Linked DNA regions of Caenorhabditis elegans. The protein of the gene in region 1 purifies or fractionates together with the protein of each later gene. This does not show direct contact. Each region holds a gene or a part of one and is shown on either strand. Other genes may lie near its edges. The genes, in order: atg-13 and cht-1.

Evidence for each region.
Region 2: the proteins of atg-13 (region 1) and cht-1 fractionate together in Caenorhabditis elegans (co-fractionation; one large-scale study listed by BioGRID). This does not show direct contact.

Annotation. Positions count from the first base shown.
Region 1 is NC_003281.10:8,155,310-8,160,056, reverse strand, and holds atg-13 (Autophagy-related protein 13 homolog), read left to right. Parts: upstream 1-1,866; 5' UTR 1,867-1,888; coding exon 1,889-1,963; intron 1,964-2,450; coding exon 2,451-2,965; intron 2,966-3,017; coding exon 3,018-3,177; intron 3,178-3,229; coding exon 3,230-3,440; intron 3,441-3,483; coding exon 3,484-3,641; intron 3,642-3,685; coding exon 3,686-3,823; intron 3,824-3,906; coding exon 3,907-3,981; 3' UTR 3,982-4,110; downstream 4,111-4,747. Other genes in the region: inpp-5K (Inositol polyphosphate 5-phosphatase), read left to right, coding at 439-639; D2007.1 (uncharacterized protein), read right to left, coding at 4,115-4,198, 4,285-4,394, 4,443-4,584. UniProt on the Caenorhabditis elegans protein: Component of the unc-51/atg-13 complex required for autophagosome formation. Required for the degradation of germ cell specific P-granule components such as sepa-1 by autophagy in somatic cells.
Region 2 is NC_003284.9:3,396,906-3,401,871, forward strand, and holds cht-1 (putative endochitinase), read right to left. Parts: upstream 3,113-4,966; 5' UTR 3,112-3,112; coding exon 3,030-3,111; intron 2,857-3,029; coding exon 2,742-2,856; intron 2,607-2,741; coding exon 1,294-2,606; intron 1,238-1,293; coding exon 894-1,237; 3' UTR 708-893; downstream 1-707. Other genes in the region: slcf-2 (Major facilitator superfamily (MFS) profile domain-containing protein), read left to right, coding at 1-112, 160-312, 366-563.

The DNA.
Region 1 (4,747 bases):
AATACATTATTATTAATAGTCAGACAGAAAATATTTTGGAATTTTCGTGGCGAAAATATGATATCTGGTCTCGACGCGGCAAATTTGTTAAATGCAAAGAGATATGAGCAGAATTTTTGCTGATGCGGAATTTTCATTGATTTTTTATTGTTTTTTTTTTAAATATAACAGTATATTTGTTAATTTTTTTTAAAAATCGTGTAAAAACTATTTTAAAAAACGTATTAAAGGAAGAAAATTCCCCAACAGCGAAAATTCGAAGTTACAGTTCTCTTTAAAGGCGCTCGCCTCTTGGTATTCAACAAAGATTTGTCGTGCCGAGACCGGGTAACATATTCTTGGCACGAAAATCACAAAATTTTGTGGTTAACTCGCGTATTGGTTTTATTGATTGGACACTACACCCATTATTTTTATAAAATTATTGATTCATTTCAGTCCAGCATCAACGACTGTACCACTGCCACAAATTGGATCTATGCTGCCACTTGTTTTGAGCAAGTAATTGAAGGTAGCAAATTTCTGGCTTGTGAATTCAATAATATTCCTGCTGGAAACTACCGTCTTGGATATTTTTCTTGTCATCTTCATTGTCTTGTTGGATTGTCAAAAGTCTTTCAAATAGTTGAACAACCATAGCTGTATTATAATATATTATACCGTATATCTTCTATTAATATGGCCTCCCTATTAGACTTGCACTCACTATTAGTATTTCCCCTCGGAGACCTTCCGAAAATTAGTATGGTACTCCCTATTAGTGTTACACTCCCTAATAGTCTTGCGTTTACTTCTTTGGTGCAAACCCTCTTTAGTAATTTAAAGATTTTTATAACACTTATTGCTTATTTTGCAACAGTTTTTCACAACAGTTCTACGAGATTAAACGTTTTTGAACTTATATGTTACAATTAAAATCAAGTTTTCTGAATTTTCACATAAGATTCGAGCTTTTTCAGAAAAAAAACTAGTAAGCTCAAAGTCAGAAAAATGTTCTGAAAATTAGTATTGCACTCCCTAATAGTCTTGCACTCCCTATTAGTATTGCAAGCGGGAAGACCATCGAGAAATAGTATTGCAGCCATATTAATAGAAGAAATACGGTAGATTTCATATGTATTTTTTGTACAAAAAATCGATATTTTAACCTCGGTACCGGAGGATTTAATTTACTTGCCAAAACTCGTAACACTTAATTGTGATTTAGTCAAACATATACTATAGTCCGGTCCATATCTGTGCCAAACATATTAACTAGTGTACAATATTATTAATAAAGTGATTTATTTCAAACTTTATTCATATTATGGATTCAAAATTAGCAGTTTTTCGTTTCCACAGTTTTACCTATTCTTTAAAATAAACTACCTTCAAAACAAATTGTGAACATAATTTTTCCGAGCCATTCCCAGTGAGGCCACATCTGTGTATTGCACCCAAAAATCCTAGTCCTCGAGTTCTCGGCCATCACGTGAAGCAGGCGCACCCAGCACTCCACAGTTATTGATTCAAGAACCGATGACAATTGTGCACATTGAGCATCTTTACACTTTTAAAAATTGCTATCAAACATTGTTAAAATAGCCAGCTGCTCAATATGTACTGCCGTTCTTGCACCTTTTATCCTTGAACTCTCCAGTAGAGCAGCAATTTCAAAAACTCGCTCTCAATGCAGGATTATTTCAGTTTTCAAAAGTATTAACTAGGATTTTTTCTTCTAACTCCATTTAAAACACTCTTCAACCATTCTATTTTCACCAAATTCTTCAACATCTCACTTTCTCTCTACCACCTCTCCAGTTTATTGTATCACTCATCTCGTCTCTTTTACGCTCATGTGACTACTACCATCGTCTTGTTTTTCAGATCAATAATATATTATTTAAACATGGTAAATGAGTACGACACGTACAACAAATGGCTCAAATTCTTCTCGGTGCGAATGGTTCAATCTATAATTCAGGTATTTATAATTTTTTTTTTAATTAAGAGTATTAATGCTCCGAAACTCATTTGTTTTATTGAAAATCCGAATTTATTGGCGCCATTGTATGTAAAAAATAATTTAGTAAAATTAAGTAAAATTCAAACAGGTCTGAGACTTTAATGGGTACTGTAGTTTCAAAATTTCGTTGAGCTTAAATATTCATCGATTTTTCATAGTTTTCGTATGAAAATCTATTAATTTATCGAAAAAAAAAACTAAAATGAAACATGTGAAATTTCTGAAAAATCAATGAAATCTTTTGAAGTAAAGACATAAATTCCGCAGCACCGATCAAAGTTGGAAACTACAGTACTCTTTCAAGGCGCGAACATTCTCGCATTTAACAAAAAATTTGTCGAGACCGGGTACAGTATTTGTGGCTCAAAAAATAAAAATTTCGCATACAATAGTTACCAAACAATAAAAACAAATCAAAATTTCCTAATATTCCATAAATTTTCAGTCTCGCCTCGGCGATGAAATTGAATCAAAATGTGTACCGTACTCGGAAAACGCAGTCGACTGGTTCAATATGCGAATTGACGAACTCGGTGAAATCTCAGCTTATCTTAAATCCAACATCAAAAGTTATCCACCTGTCGGAACTCTTACTCTCGAATTTCTACTCTATACACCCAGTGGACAACTATTACCACTTGAAGCGTGGATTCTTAGCTCATCAGAAGGAACTGATGATTGTTCAAGAAATGAACTTTATCATGATATGAGCACATTGCTTCGATCAGCAATTGTATCAGCCAGAATGACTCCAATGCATCGATTGTATGTGAAAAAGCAGCACTTGGAGACTTTTGTAATTATGTATAGAGTTTTTGAAAATGATATTTCATCTGATATGGGAAAAGGAAAGAAAACTAGAAAAATTGGAGAACTTGTATCAAAATTTGGAAATATCAGTCTTGACCTACATTACCGAACATCAATGCATTTCGAGGAACCAGAGATTGCTCCAGTAACGTAAGGGATTAAATAGAATAATTTCCGATTTTAAATAATTATTAAATTTCAGACCTGTTGAAGATGTAGAAGAGGAAATTGATGACGGGGAAAAGACAGTTGTAGATGAAAATATTCAAACAAGAACTGTCTCAGAATGTGTTCCAATTGCTGATGCTAAAAAAAGAAAAGCAAGTGGAAGTGTTGAATCTGCTACAAGTGCTGGAAGTTCTGTAAGTTTTCAAAAAAATTTTATGCAAAGTCAAACGAATTAAAAAATTTAAGACCTCCCGAGAAGCTGCTCCTAGATTTATTCTTGGACAATCAACATCAAGTGAAGACTCTCGACATTCAGATGTTCAAAATTCTTATGAAGAAGATCACAAACCATCTCTAGCAGATCTACGAAATCATTCATTCCCATTCGTGAATCTACTACAGTCGGCATACAATCCAGCAAATGGAACCAAGAAAAACTCTTCTTCTACTTGTCTCAGTAAGAATATAAAAATAATTCAAATATTTATTATTAAATCTAGATTCTCCAAAATCAACTCCAGAAGACAAAGAGCCAACGATAGAAAAGGTTGCTGAGAGCTTCCGTGCCGCTAAAATCGACGAAGTTGTATTTGAAGAAGATGAAGATGAAGAGTTGCCACTTGATTCAATGGAGCTGAGTGAAGATTCATTTGTTCATGTAAGCCTTAGTTAATCAACGAGTCGTTAATTATTTCATTTCAGTTTAATCAGCTATCAGATTTCGGTGGTGCGCCAAGTCTTGGTAATGAGCTGGGAGACTATCTGAAGCAGCTGAAAACTGCTCCCGATATGACAGAATCCGGTGATATTGATATTTGTAACATGGACTTGAAAACAGAGGTGAGTTTGGAAATAAATAGCTAATGGCATTTAAACCAAAAACTATAACTAATTAACAAATTCAAATTTCAATCAAATTTCAGCTCGAAAAAATAAGTTCTCAAACTGCCAACTTCAACAATTTCCTGAAACACGTCAATTCGTTCTCCGATGAGTGACTTTTTTATTGAAAATTTACAATCTCCCATATTGTATACATCGCATGTACACTTTTCACACGTTTACACTCGTTTCACAATTTTTTGTGCACATATTGTTTTTTGAATATTCATAAATGTATAGTTATATAAATTATCGGGAACACTTTCCATTGCGACATTGCTCAGAAGTCTTGCAACATGCATTTCCACATTGGTCCCGAGTAACTGGACAGTTCTGAAACTTTTGAAAGTTTATGGGTTTCTCTGTGCAGTTTGAAAAACGTATACAATAAGTTTTTAATTATCTTTGAACTTGTTTACCGATAGTCTTGGGAAGCAGCGGTTTCGAAGACATGTCTGATCAAAGTTACAACATTCATAAGCAGAACATTGTGATGCTTGTACTCCACACCGGCTCGTGGAAGCGGAAGCTGGAATGTAAATCCAAAGATCATTTGAACAAAGAACTAAAAAAAAACCTTTTGAATAACTAGGTGTTGGAGTACTTGTTGGTTTTTTCTTGCCAAAAGAAAAGATTGATGAGAAAATATTGTTGGAAGCGGCGGATTCTGTTGACACCACAAGCACCAAAATTACAAGAATCAACGATAAGATCTTCATTCTAAAAATATTTTTTTGGAATATAAAAATAAAATGTGTTATGGGTTTGACAATTATTCAACAGAGACTTCAACGAAGAAGAAAGAGAAACAGAGAACGAGAGAAGAATGAGCAAGTGATTAATGTCAGGTGATAGAGGATTAGAAGCTCCCCTAGAACGCAG
Region 2 (4,966 bases), on another chromosome or scaffold:
TTTCGATTTATCCGTCGCTGCGATCAGTGGCGAATCGGCTTACGCGATCGTACCCGAACTATTCCTCGCAAATGATAAAGTTTTGGGATCAGCTATTGTGGGCATCGTTCAGGTTTGTTCATGATGTTTCGCTGTAACAATTTTTTAAGGTTATTCCAGAATGGATTTGGAGGGGTTTTGACAAACTGCCTACTAACTGCTTTGAACACTCATGGAATATCAAATGTACTAATACCATTTGTAGCAATGAACACAGTTTATGTAGGTGTTACTTACAAATGGCTTCCCGAAACTGCAGGAAAAACTCCACAGGTAACAAATAATAATTAGAACATTTATATTTTAAATACCTATTTTAATTTCAGGAAATCAATCGTCACTTCTCACCAGAGTTTCCTGGAACAAATGTATTCTTATACTTAAAACACAAAGCCTCGAAAACGTTCGCATATCTCAGTGGAAAACCGGCGCTGATGAACTTTATCAGTTTTGTGGTGCAGTTGGCGTGCTGCATATTTCTTCTCGATTTTGGAGTGAACATTTACAAAAACATTGGAAAGTGAACTGGGTCTCTCTTTTCAAAATTGATACCAGTTGGCAATCGTCGAAACAAGTTGGTCTCTCAAGAAAAATGGGTTCTTATGCATGTAGTTATAAATTAGGGGTCGCTTTGTTTGTAGATTGTCCATGAAATAAAAAAGTGTTTTGTTATATACGTTTATTGATACAATAAATACGTTTTAAAGTTGAATATACATTAAATGAATAACATAAATTGTTTACTTTTTGAGTTGCTACAAGCAACAAATGACAGGTGGCCCGTGGGAATAACGAAGTTATAGGAAATAAGGAATGCAAGAATGAAATTAAACAGATGTTGGAAATTAATACACTTATTTTGCACATTTTGATGGATCTGGACGATCACACATCATTGTGTCAGCGTGGAAGCTCAAACCGTTGGGGCACTCAAAGTTGTATGAAATACCATTCACACAGCGGATAAACTTGAGGCAATCACTCGGAACTCCGAAGAATCCATCCTTGGTACACTTGAAAGCCGGTGTAGTGGTTGTTGGTGCTCTTGTAGTTGTGGTGACAGTTGGCGCAGATTTTGTTGTCGTAGTTGGAGCTCTAGTAGTGGTCACAGAACATCCAGAAGCAGTGGAAGTGGTACAGTATTTCAGGGAAGCAGAGTATTGAAGTCCTGATGGGCACGACATGCTGTATGATTTTGCTGAAATTGAAAATTGTTCATAAACATTCTAAATAATATAATTTTTAAAAACTTACAGCTCAGACAAAGAACGAAAAGTCCGCAGTTGTTGCTGTTTGGATAAAATCCATCCGATTTTCCAGAACAGACATTTGTATTGGAAGCTGTGGTTGTAGTAGCTGCACGTGTTGTAGTTGTGGTAGCGGCAGTAGTTGTGGTTACTGCTGAAGTCATTGGAGGGCGTCCAGTTGTGACCGTAGTTGCTACAGTGGTTGGAGCAGTTGTGACGCCACCTTTCTTTGGAATGATAACTCCTCCAAGCTCCTTAGCAATGACACTGATGAGTGGGTAAAGCTGACCATTAGAGTTGCTGCATCCAGCATTGAAATCGTCAAAATCAAGAGTCCATACAAAAGCTCCTCCGTAACCTTCTCTCTTAACGTATGCCATCTTGTTGGCAAACGACTCTTCATCATCGTACGACCACCATTGATTTCCTTGTACGAGATATGGAACTTGAGACTGGCTATCCCAATATCTGGTGGCTCCATTGGCGAGCATCTCGCAGAACTCGAAGTAGGCTCCAACTCCGGCTTCTTGAACATATTGAGTGATCTTAGCTGGGGATCCGCTTGTTCCTGGATTAATTGCACTGGCATTGTTCAAAGTCCATCCTCGTCCATATGTTGGCATTCCGACGATGATCTTCTCTTTTGGCATACCCTTCTGGTTCCAGTATCTAGCAGATGAATCAACGTTCCATCCATTCCATTCAGCTGGGAGCTCGGTCGTAGCATAGAGTGGAGAGTTGAATCCAACAAGAGAAGCCCATGCTCCGAAGAAATCGTAACTCATGAGAAGAATAAAGTCAAAGTTCGGTGCCAAGTTTGGAATATCATACCCAGCATCGATTGTGGCTGGTCCTGCGGCGACAGCGGCGGTTACAAGAAGACGATCCTTTCCAGTGCTTCCGGCTTCCGACTCACAAGCAGCCTTCAACTCCTTCACGAGGGCAACGTAGTTAGCCATGTCAGTTGCTCCAGAAGGGTACTCCCAGTCGATATCAATACCATCGAATCCCCAAGTGCGAACGAAAGTGATAGCAGAGTCGATAAAAACTTTTCTAGACGCAGAACTGGCAGCCATTCCTTGGAAAAGTGCAGTTCCAAAACTCCATCCTCCGAACGAGAGAAGGGTCTTGAGTTGGGTGTCAGTGACTTTCAGCTTGTTAACTCTTCTGTACATTCCTTCTCCAGCCCAATCATTTGGCAAGTCTGCTGGATCATATGCTCGAACGGTGTAGTCAGCGTTCATCCATCCGAATGCAAAGAGAATATGCGTGCAGAGTCCTGGAGTGTAATCCTCTGGCACAAACTTGGCTCGTCCTTGTCTGAAAAAATAATTGAAAAAAAAACTAACTTGCAGACCAGAAAACCAGAACTTTTTCCCACTATTCATTCCTCACTGCATACTATCATCTTTCGATTATCGTCCCCCTATTCACAAATACGATTAAATTTCAAACCTGTATTGAGCCCAGTTGGTGAAGTAGCACGGTCTGATGTAGCTATTGGTTGGCTCGGATCTCGCCACTGATCGTGAAGTGATTTTGTTTCGTGCAGCGACAACATCCGCCGGATCTGAAGAGAACGTGTGAGAACAGCGGGGTTTTGTTTACGTGCTCTTGAACTATATTGGCAAACACTGAGTGACCATTTGAAAAGTCAATACTAGACTTTTTGTGTCAGTCTGTATCAGAAATTCAATGGTTTCAGCTGAACAGTCATTAGAAAAAATTGCCGAGATAACTTACGGTTTCTAATTGTAGCACCCGTCCATGTGTATGCAATTGGCAATATGAAACTTGCCACGAGAAGGAATTTGCCTAATAGCATGCTGAAAAAATACAAAAATATATTTATTCAGAAATACGTTCACCAAATTTTCGAATGAGAAGAATGGGTGAAAGGGCTATTGCGGAAAAACAAGCAATTTAAAGGAACAAAAATGACCAAAATGTACATAGGTAGCCGGACTGGTGGCGGTTGTTTGAGCACCTCGGCTCACAATGCACTTCGTACAGTGTGCTCATTTTCCAACGATTATCGCTCAAGGCGAAAAGAAATGAGGATGGGTGAGTGAGGGGGACTCCACTTTCCGCAAAAACCACCGCACAAACAATAAAATTATGACGATTTGAGTCAATCCAAGTATCCAAGAAAAAAACAAATTTGAATAAAACACGTAGACAATAATCAGGCCTGTACCAGGCCAAAAGGTAGAATAATTGAGTTGGTCCGTCAGGCAGCCAACAAAAATGTCTGAATGATTGTGGCTACATAGAATGGTCTCTACATGGGAAGGTGGGCGGAGCACCTTATCTAGGTCAATCTCGGCCCATTAATGCGGCCCAGACCCTTTATGACATCATGAACAATAGCCGAGCAGGATTTGATCTTTGCTCTCTAATAAGAAGGGTGTTAATGAATGAGCAGTCTACCAACATTGATTGAAGAGACAGTCGTAAAGATGGTAATCTTGTTGCTCAGTAAGATTGAAAGATCAGACTACAAAACAGTTGGGAAATACGGTCAGACGAGCACTTTAACATTGATTATTAATATTGCTTTCATGTTTAAATTTTTGAGAGAGAGCTTATATATTATTTCTAAAATAACAAAAGTTTATATTGTTTCACGTACAATGTCTGATAACAGATAAAGTGTTTTCAATACTTAAGAGCGTCCCATGACAAACACCCACACAAGTATGCCGGAAAGTTTAACCGTGTTTAAAACGGAAGTGACGACGAATAGAAAAATATTGTTTAAAGCATGTTAAAAGTGCATTGCTTACAGCACTGTTGTTTTTGGAGCTCTCGATCAACCGAATTTTTTCAAATCAAAATCATGCTTAATATGTACTAACAAAAAACGATCACCTAACATGCACATAAGTTTTAACAGTTTATAAAGGAAAATGTTTTGGAATTAGAAACCTCGAAAAAAATTCGATTCTACGGGCACGAGAATATTGCTGGAATTATTCACTTTTTCGGAAACACAAATTTATGAATATCGCTAGTATACACCAATTTCGACAGTGACGCGGACAACTCGTTTTGAAAGCCCGCCAAAAAAAAAACGAATTTCTTTTATTTTCTATTCTAATTACCTATGCTTTAGATACACATATTTGAACATTAAAGCTGAAGCCTGATGCAATGCTTCAACTTCTCTGGCAATATTCAAAAACTTCTATGTAAGACTGAAAATTTAAAAAAAATCTTCAAAAAAAATTGAGTATTAAATTATGATATTTGGGCATGTGGAACTGTGATAATTAAACAAACTTCTTACTGACAAGAAGCCACCTTTGAACAATTTCAGAATCAGAAAATACAATCTATTTATTAAAAACACTATTTTGTCTCACTTTTATACTGATTAGTCAGATTTCATTTTTCGTTACTTAAATGATGATGACAAATAGAACAGGATTTTGAAATTTTATTAATAACGTGTTTGCTTATCAAATTAATTTCGTTGACTCATCACTATTGCTCAGAAGATATTCCATCGGATCGTATTTAGCTATTTCGTGTTTCAGCTAATATCCACAAATCTTTTTGGCATCGAGAGTACGACTCATCCATTTTCGCATTTTAAAATGCTCCTTTTACTTTTCGCCCTCTGCGGTGGGTCTCGACGAACACAATTTTTCTCGTGGACGACTGAGTCATTTGCACAT